2 linked regions of the Arabidopsis thaliana genome follow. The protein of the gene in region 1 interacts with the protein of each later gene in a pairwise test. Each region holds a gene or a part of one and is shown in the gene's direction. Other genes may lie near its edges. The genes, in order: UBP16 and HIPP27.

Region 1 (3,926 bases):
ACGACGTTGCGCTAAAGGTAACCTCCCGTCAGCTTGCATCCTAACCATCGCCACGTCAGCTGGATTTCCAACGGCGGCTCCGATTCCACCAGCGACTAGCCCTGCACCGATCTTCCTACTCAGATTCAACTTCCCTGACTCAGGATCAGTCCATTTGTTCTTAAGCACTTCGTATAGACCCATCCTGGTGGTGGAATATAACGTCTGACGGAGAAGTGTAGCGGAGACTCCTGAGAATAACGCGGCGGCGCCTTCCGATTTGACTATGTTGATTCCGAGTGAGATCGGTCCTACTTTGGGGACTGAAGAAGTCGTTTCCAGGAAAGCTGCAGGAGAAGAATTGGGGAAAGCGAGAGCTGGACGGAGGAGAGTGACGGTGGTGGTGGAAGGTGCTTCACCGTGAAGCTGAAGACGAACCTTGATTAGATCGAGAGGGTGAGTAGAGCAACCGGCGATTACAGAGGCAATCCCACCTTCAACGAAACTTTTGACTCCCATTGTTGTGAAATTGGAGAGAGAAGAGAGAATGAAATTGAGATGTTGTGAGTGAAGGAGAAGAAGAGGGAAACAAAGGTATTTATTTGTAGCGAGTTTTGTTTTGTGACGCGGTTTTGTCTGTGTTCAATGTTGACGAAACGAGTGAGAGAGTGTCTGATTATTAAAGAAAACCCTAATTAAGTCAGACCCGCCGGTTATAAAAATAGTCAAAAAGTAGGAAAACGCGTGTGTGAGTGAGACAGAGACAGCCCATTGTTTGCTTTATGGGCTTATAAGCGAGACGTGTTAATTGGGCTTTTTCCTTTATGGCCGAAAACAAAAGAAACGTCGCCTGAGAGATTCGAACTCTCGCGGGCAGAGCCCATGTACTTAGCAGGCACACGCCTTAACCACTCGGCCAAAGCGACTTGTTGCTATGAGTTAGACAAAATCATTAAAATTCTCTATTATGATTTCTCATAGTGTGTGTGTATATTGTGGATCTACTAAAAATTCTTTGTTATTATTACTTTATTTTGTGAATTAGTTTGATATAGGTAAGTACAAAGTTAACTTTATTATTTACTCAAAATTTATCAGATTAACTGATTTTATATTGTTTCCTTTGGTATATAGACGTACTATAGTTTTTAGAAAAACCATAAGATTCCTTTATATTTCATAGAGTGAAGAGATGAGATGAGATCTTGGCTGGAGAAGAAATAAGTTTCCACGAGGAGGACTCTTTTTTTTTGGTGAAGACGAGGAGGAGGACTCTTGGTTGATCCAGTCTTTACGTTAGACATCGACCCCTACATTTATTTGCCTTTCTCTATCAACATGGCAGGTAAAAATCTTCATTCAACCGAACCAACCAAAGTCTCTTCCCAATAATATTCAAGCACCATCCTTTGGGAAACTCATACATACTACAGTCTACACTCTTTCATTTTCTTTCAACGCTCAACTTAACAAATGATATAGTCTAGTTGTCAATTATATGTTTTAATTAGTGTTTTCACATCAAATTCTGGTTTGATATTTGATGACTATTTTCGGAAACATCTCAATGTCCCGCAAATACAATCGTCTATCATATATAATCCCGTACGTTGTATTCTTATAGATAGAATAATATGGCGTGATCTTTATAATATAACATATAGAATCGTGTAGATTTATTTTATTTTATTTTTATATATCGCATAAATTGCAAAATACTTATATATGTTTGTTATATATGATACCCATTTTATAGTTACTTAAAAAAAGTTAAGCGATAATATATATATATCAACTTTTTATAACAAAAAAGTATAACACATGGTAAAGAAAAATAAAAATGAAGACATGGTGTGACACGAAAATGGCACTAAATATACATATATAATAGATAGCTACAATATCCCATCATACACACTTTTTTAATTGACTAATACATAACTTACACACTTTTTTAATTGACTAATTCATAACTTTTTATCATTGTCAACATGCAAATTCATATTTCCGTTGAACTATTATTCTTATTTTGTTTTTAAAAGAAGGGCTTCCTGGTAATAAAAATATGATTTCCAAATGACGTTAGAGCAAAAAAAAAAAAAGGTTGTCTGGTCTGGTAAAATGAAAAAGCAAAGCGTCTTGGTATAGAAAAGTAATATACTGCCTCCTAATTTCTTCGTCCTTCTACCGAAGAATCTCTCCACTCTTGCCCTCTTTCGAAACCCTAAACCAGAAGCACCAGATTTTTTCAACTTTTTCCCAGAGAACAATAGAAAACCCAACTTGTGCTCTCTAGGGTTTTCTTTATTCCTTCTCATCTTTGGATTTTCTTGGGTCATCATTTTGGAAGCTTACCCACCAGCGAAAAAATTATAACTTCCATCGATTCCTGGCTTCTCTCTCTCGCTCTCTCTGCATGTGCTAAATCGCCGGACTGATCCTCACTGTCACCTCTGTTCCCGGCTTATTCGCCGGTGAAATCTATGGTTGGTGCTCAGATTTATTTCCAATTGTTTGTGCATCTGGTGGAGGATAAATGCTCCTTGTTTTGGATCTAGGGATTTCTAGTCTAGTCCTTGTGGTCTCTCTTGTTTTACCTTTGATCGGTCTCTTTGTTCGTCACAAATGGAGGGTCGCTGCCCAAAGAAGGGAGGAGATTAGAAGACTTCTTATTCATGCTTCTGAAGAGGCTGCCAGGGCTGAGCTAGAGGCCTCTGTTGAGTTCTCTTCTGTTGCCGTCTCTAATGTCTTCCATTGTCCTGTTTGCTATTGTCTTGCCACGACTCGTTGCTCTCGCTGCAAAGCCGTTCGATATTGGTATGCAAAAATTCTCTCACTTTCTCCATGTCCAAATTACGTTGTATGATCTTAGAGTTATGATTGCATCTGCTGCACTCTCTGCTGAGACGTGATGAATTGGAGTGATTAGTAGGCAAAGAATATAAGTTAGTTCTGTAACTTTAGCGATACTGGATCAGAGATTTAAGAAAATTGACTTCTTTTTCTATGTTAACAAAATTATGGGTAATTAGTTAGCTTGGGAGGAAGTTTAGTATTTGATTCATGGCTTATCTGTGAGTAACTAACTATGTGCTGCTGAGGAATTTATTTCAATTAGATAGCTTAAGAAATGTACTATAATGTCTATCAAATTTTCAACCTTTTCCCCTTAGCGCATGTGAAATTTCGTTACCTACATATCTTAGTGATAGTTGTTTCGTTTTTGTTATTTTTTTTCCAGTTCCGGGAAATGTCAAATCATTCACTGGCGGCAAGGTCACAAAGATGAATGTCATCCTGCTTCCATTGTATATGATAGTGAAGATGAGAGTGATTCCGATTTGAGATTAGGAGAAGAAAATGGACAAAATACTCCTGAGGAAACTTTACTGGTGGGTCCAGAACCAGTTACTATACCAATCGGGGAATCACTATTATCTAATCGTGCCAGATCTCCTGAAGATGGGAATGGAGATATTGCAGATAACAAAGATGACCTTATAGATAAGGAAGAAGCTGTTTCTGTTGCTGAAACATCTGGATCCTCGTTTTCTGGCTTCTCCTCCTCCCCCCGTAATGACTCTGGCGACGAGATTTCTCGTTGTGAGAGCTTCAGTTCATCTGAATCCGAGAGATCAGAGTCCCTACTTGATGCTCATGTCTCTGTAGAGCCAGAAGACACCTGTTTCAGCACCATTGAAGATGCTCCATCCAAACTGTTGTCTCCAAAATTTGTGCACTTGGTTGAATCTGTAGATAATCTCGCTAATCTGCCTAAATTAAGTGTACATAAACCTGAGGATGATGCTGGGCAGAACCAGAGCCAATCAAGGAGCTTACACTCATTAGTTACGGATAGGCATCCAGTATCAGCTGACCCATCTCTGAAGTCATCTGATTTTTGGGGTACGGCTCTTGGATCAGCCGAACGTGTGAGTGATTCTTGT
Region 2 (3,514 bases), on another chromosome or scaffold:
CAGTGCTGTTAATAATAGCCAGAGGAAACCTTTTAGACGGAATAACAACACATCATCTTCCAGTACCAGTAGTAACGTCTCCAATGCTGCGCCTTTAAACACCAGAGATCAGAATCACAGCCAAAGGGGTGGTGGCTCTTTTGGTTCAGGGAATTTCCGTAATTCTCAGAGGAATCGCAACAGCAGCTCTTACCCTCGTGGGGAAGGTCTTCACCATGGAAACAGGCGCAATTATGAGCATGGCAACCAAAGCGGCTTTTCTCACCGTAACTATAGTGGGAGAGACATGCACTTGCAACCGCAGAGGGGTGTTGGGATGATTAGACCGCAGATGCTGATGGGGCCACCATCTTTTCCTGCCAGTAGTGCGCAATATATGGCAGCGCCTCAATTAGGTTCATATGGTGGCCCCATTATCTACCCAGGTATGGTTTTGCTCATCTTATGCTCTCTCATACATTCCCATTTCTAATTCATTCATTCTGCTATGTTACATCTTCAGATTATGCACAGCATGTCTTTATGCCACATCCATCTCCAGATCCGATGGGTTTAGTTGGACCCTTCCCACTTCAACCCATGTATTTTCGCAATTTTGATGCCATCTTGTACAATAAGATATTGACACAAGTAGAATATTATTTCAGGTAATCGTTTCAGTTTTATTTGGTTGTGTTTGCACTTTTCTACTTGTTTATGGGTTACCCCAATGCTCCATTAGATGCATCTATCAGAAGTGTGAATTACAAATTTTATCCTTTGTTAATTTTTAAACGCAGCGCTGATAACCTGAGCAGAGATGAACATTTACGGGATCAGATGAATGATGAAGGTTGGGTTCCTGTTAGAGTAATAGCAGCATTCAGGAGAGTAAGTGGTTTTCCATCTTCTATTCTGAAGCTGACATGCGTTAATCACTTTACAATGTCTACTGCAGAAAGTATTTCTTATTGTATCAAGGTGTTACTTATATTAGTTGTGTTTGTTTGTTTACGTGACCTTGGAAGTAGTAGTCTTAGTTTAGTAAGTGTATTGGTGGTAAAAAAAAGAGTAATTCTTTGAAATTTTTGCAACTTTTGCAGCTTGCGGAACTGACCAATAACATCCAGACTATATTGGAAGCACTGAGAAGTTCAGAAGTCGTGGAAATTCAGGTATGTAAGATGAGCATCCTTGTCTCTCATTCATTGATGGATATAAGATAAGAAGTAAAGTGGAAAGGTGTAAAGATAAAAAAAGGCATAGAAAGACTAAAGGTAGAATGTGGATGGGATTGTAGGGTGAAACATTAAGGAGGCGAGGAGATTGGGACAAGTATTTATTGCCTCGTGAGCCTTCAAGGTCCGGTCCAGCTGCGGGGGCTAGCAACAATGCCTCACTGGTGTCTCAAATTGAGAGCATGACTCTATCAGAGAGGAGCAGAGAGGGAGTGTAAGAGAGATGCTACTAAGAGAGAGAAAGAAAGATGTGTTTGCAAGCCTATCTCTCTTCCTTTCCTTTTTTGTGTTTTGTCGAGAATTGGATATGAACTGATTGATACTCAGTCTCATAAGAAAAAAAACAATAATATGCTGCTCAACTTTTTTTGAACTTTTCTGGTTTTTAAAATTTTTTTGGATAGGAAACTTTAATAGTTGGTGTTTGGCTGATCATTGATTTAGTCATCCTTGTTAAGAAAATGTAATATCTGAAGATACCCGCCACTCGGCAGAGAGGGTTTCACGTCAAACCATATCCGAAATACTAGAGAGCTCTAAATTGAAAACAGCTGGCTATCTCAGCAGTGACATACCATTCCTTCACTCGTCCACGTGCAAAGTGGGCATGTTGGCTTTACTTTATGTATGCTTTAATAAGACAATTTGAAGTTACCAGAGAAGGAAAAAAAACTGTCGTAATCGGCGCTAATGGGCTTCCGAGACATTTGTTACCGGAAACATCACAAAAAGCTTAAGCAGTTCCAGGCACTCTTCTCCCTTCTCTGATATATCTGATTCCTTTTTTTTGCTTGTAACTGTTGTGTAACGAGACTGTGTTTCGTATGATGAAAAAAGAAGGTGGAGATAAAAGTGAAGATGGACTGCGAAGGGTGCGAGAGACGGGTGAGGAAGTCGGTGGAAGGCATGAAAGGAGTCAGCAAAGTCACCGTCGATCCTAAACAGAGCAAACTCACGGTCGAGGGATTCGTCCAACCGAGCAAGGTGGTGCATCGGGTGATGCATCGGACAGGGAAGAAGGCGGAGCTGTGGCCTTACGTACCTTACGAGGTGGTGCCACACCCTTACGCACCTGGTGCCTACGACAAGAAGGCCCCTCCTGGTTACGTTCGTAATGCACTCGCCGACCCTCTAGTGGCCCCGCTTGCTCGTGCCAGCTCCTTCGAGGTCAAATACACTTCTGCTTTCAGCGATGACAATCCCAACGCTTGTACCATCATGTGATCAATTCATATATATAGTTAACTACACATGTGACTATGTAAGTGTTTTTAGATACCCTTTTTAAGTAATTCTGAAAAGACAGTCTGAATGTTTGTACGAGTCATCATCTAAATTCCACTGAAATTAAAAGGGAGAAACAGAAGAAGAGAGAGGTGAGTAGATGGAGGAGTAACAAGAGAAAGAAGAGAGAAAGGTGAGAAGCCATGAATAGACTGATTAGGCAAGCCATGACCCAAACAGGGTATATCAGAAGCAGTGTGTAACAGATGACGACAAGGCAGTAGCAGACGAGACTCGCCACTTTCTCGATAGCTTCTCCCACCGGCATCTTGATTTGCGTATTTGCTACTCCTCTGGATTACATGACTTCATTTAAATAAATAGTAAGAAACACACACAGTCTTTGGAGAAATACATGCACCAGAAGTTGTTTCCTCTCTAAACGGGACAATGCATCCCGCATTTCAGCCCTTCCTCTGTTTCTTCTTTTTCCCCTCTGTTTTTGCCTCTTCACTGTGTTTACATAACAGAAACGTGCTTTGTCATAAAGCTCAAGTAACAATTTCAAGAGGCAAGTATCCAAATTGAAACGCATATGGTGTCCAATAACGGGGTATTTCTTCTTTTAATATCTCATTATTATCACATTCCACAAAGCTAGTTACAAGGTCAGTATATATGAGTACATATGCGTATGTGAACAAAACAACACCAAAATTATCTCAAATATGAAATGCTCAGGATTTGGAGAATGCACGAAGCGTGGCATCCAACGCTTCCCGATCATAATCTCCAGTGAACACGCAGTTTCCCAGCGGGCCTTTGAGAAGAATCAGCCTCAGCAGTCCATCTGCCACTTTCTTGTCCACCTGCATCACCACACACATTTCAATGAATTTTTCTTAGCTCAAAAGTTGCTCAAAAGTTACCAACTTTTTTCCATTTACATCTGGAATTCACTAAAAACTCACCGCCATTATGGACTTGAACATGCTGACGGTCATGCTCTCTGGCGGAGTTGTAGGCAATTTCGCCCGTACTAGGATCTTGTTCACTCTCTTAACAATCGATTC

Evidence for each region.
Region 2: the proteins of UBP16 (region 1) and HIPP27 interact in a two-hybrid assay, tested with the Arabidopsis thaliana proteins (one study listed by BioGRID).

What each region holds. Positions count from the first base shown.
Region 1 is NC_003075.7:12,683,118-12,687,043, reverse strand, and holds the start of UBP16 (ubiquitin-specific protease 16), read left to right. Parts: upstream 1-2,067; 5' UTR 2,068-2,515; coding exon 2,516-2,796; intron 2,797-3,220; coding exon 3,221-3,926. Other genes in the region: DIC2 (dicarboxylate carrier 2), read right to left, coding at 1-498. UniProt on the Arabidopsis thaliana protein: Recognizes and hydrolyzes the peptide bond at the C-terminal Gly of ubiquitin. Involved in the processing of poly-ubiquitin precursors as well as that of ubiquitinated proteins.
Region 2 is NC_003076.8:26,428,338-26,431,851, forward strand, and holds HIPP27 (Heavy metal transport/detoxification superfamily protein), read left to right. Parts: upstream 1-1,864; 5' UTR 1,865-1,907; coding exon 1,908-1,964; exon of another isoform or gene 1,965-2,054; coding exon 2,055-2,441; 3' UTR 2,442-3,014; downstream 3,015-3,514. Other genes in the region: LARP1b (winged-helix DNA-binding transcription factor family protein), read left to right, coding at 1-425, 503-647, 780-870, 1,083-1,154, 1,280-1,435; AT5G66120 (3-dehydroquinate synthase), read right to left, coding at 3,179-3,310, 3,413-3,514. UniProt on the Arabidopsis thaliana protein: Heavy-metal-binding protein. Binds cadmium. May be involved in cadmium transport and play a role in cadmium detoxification.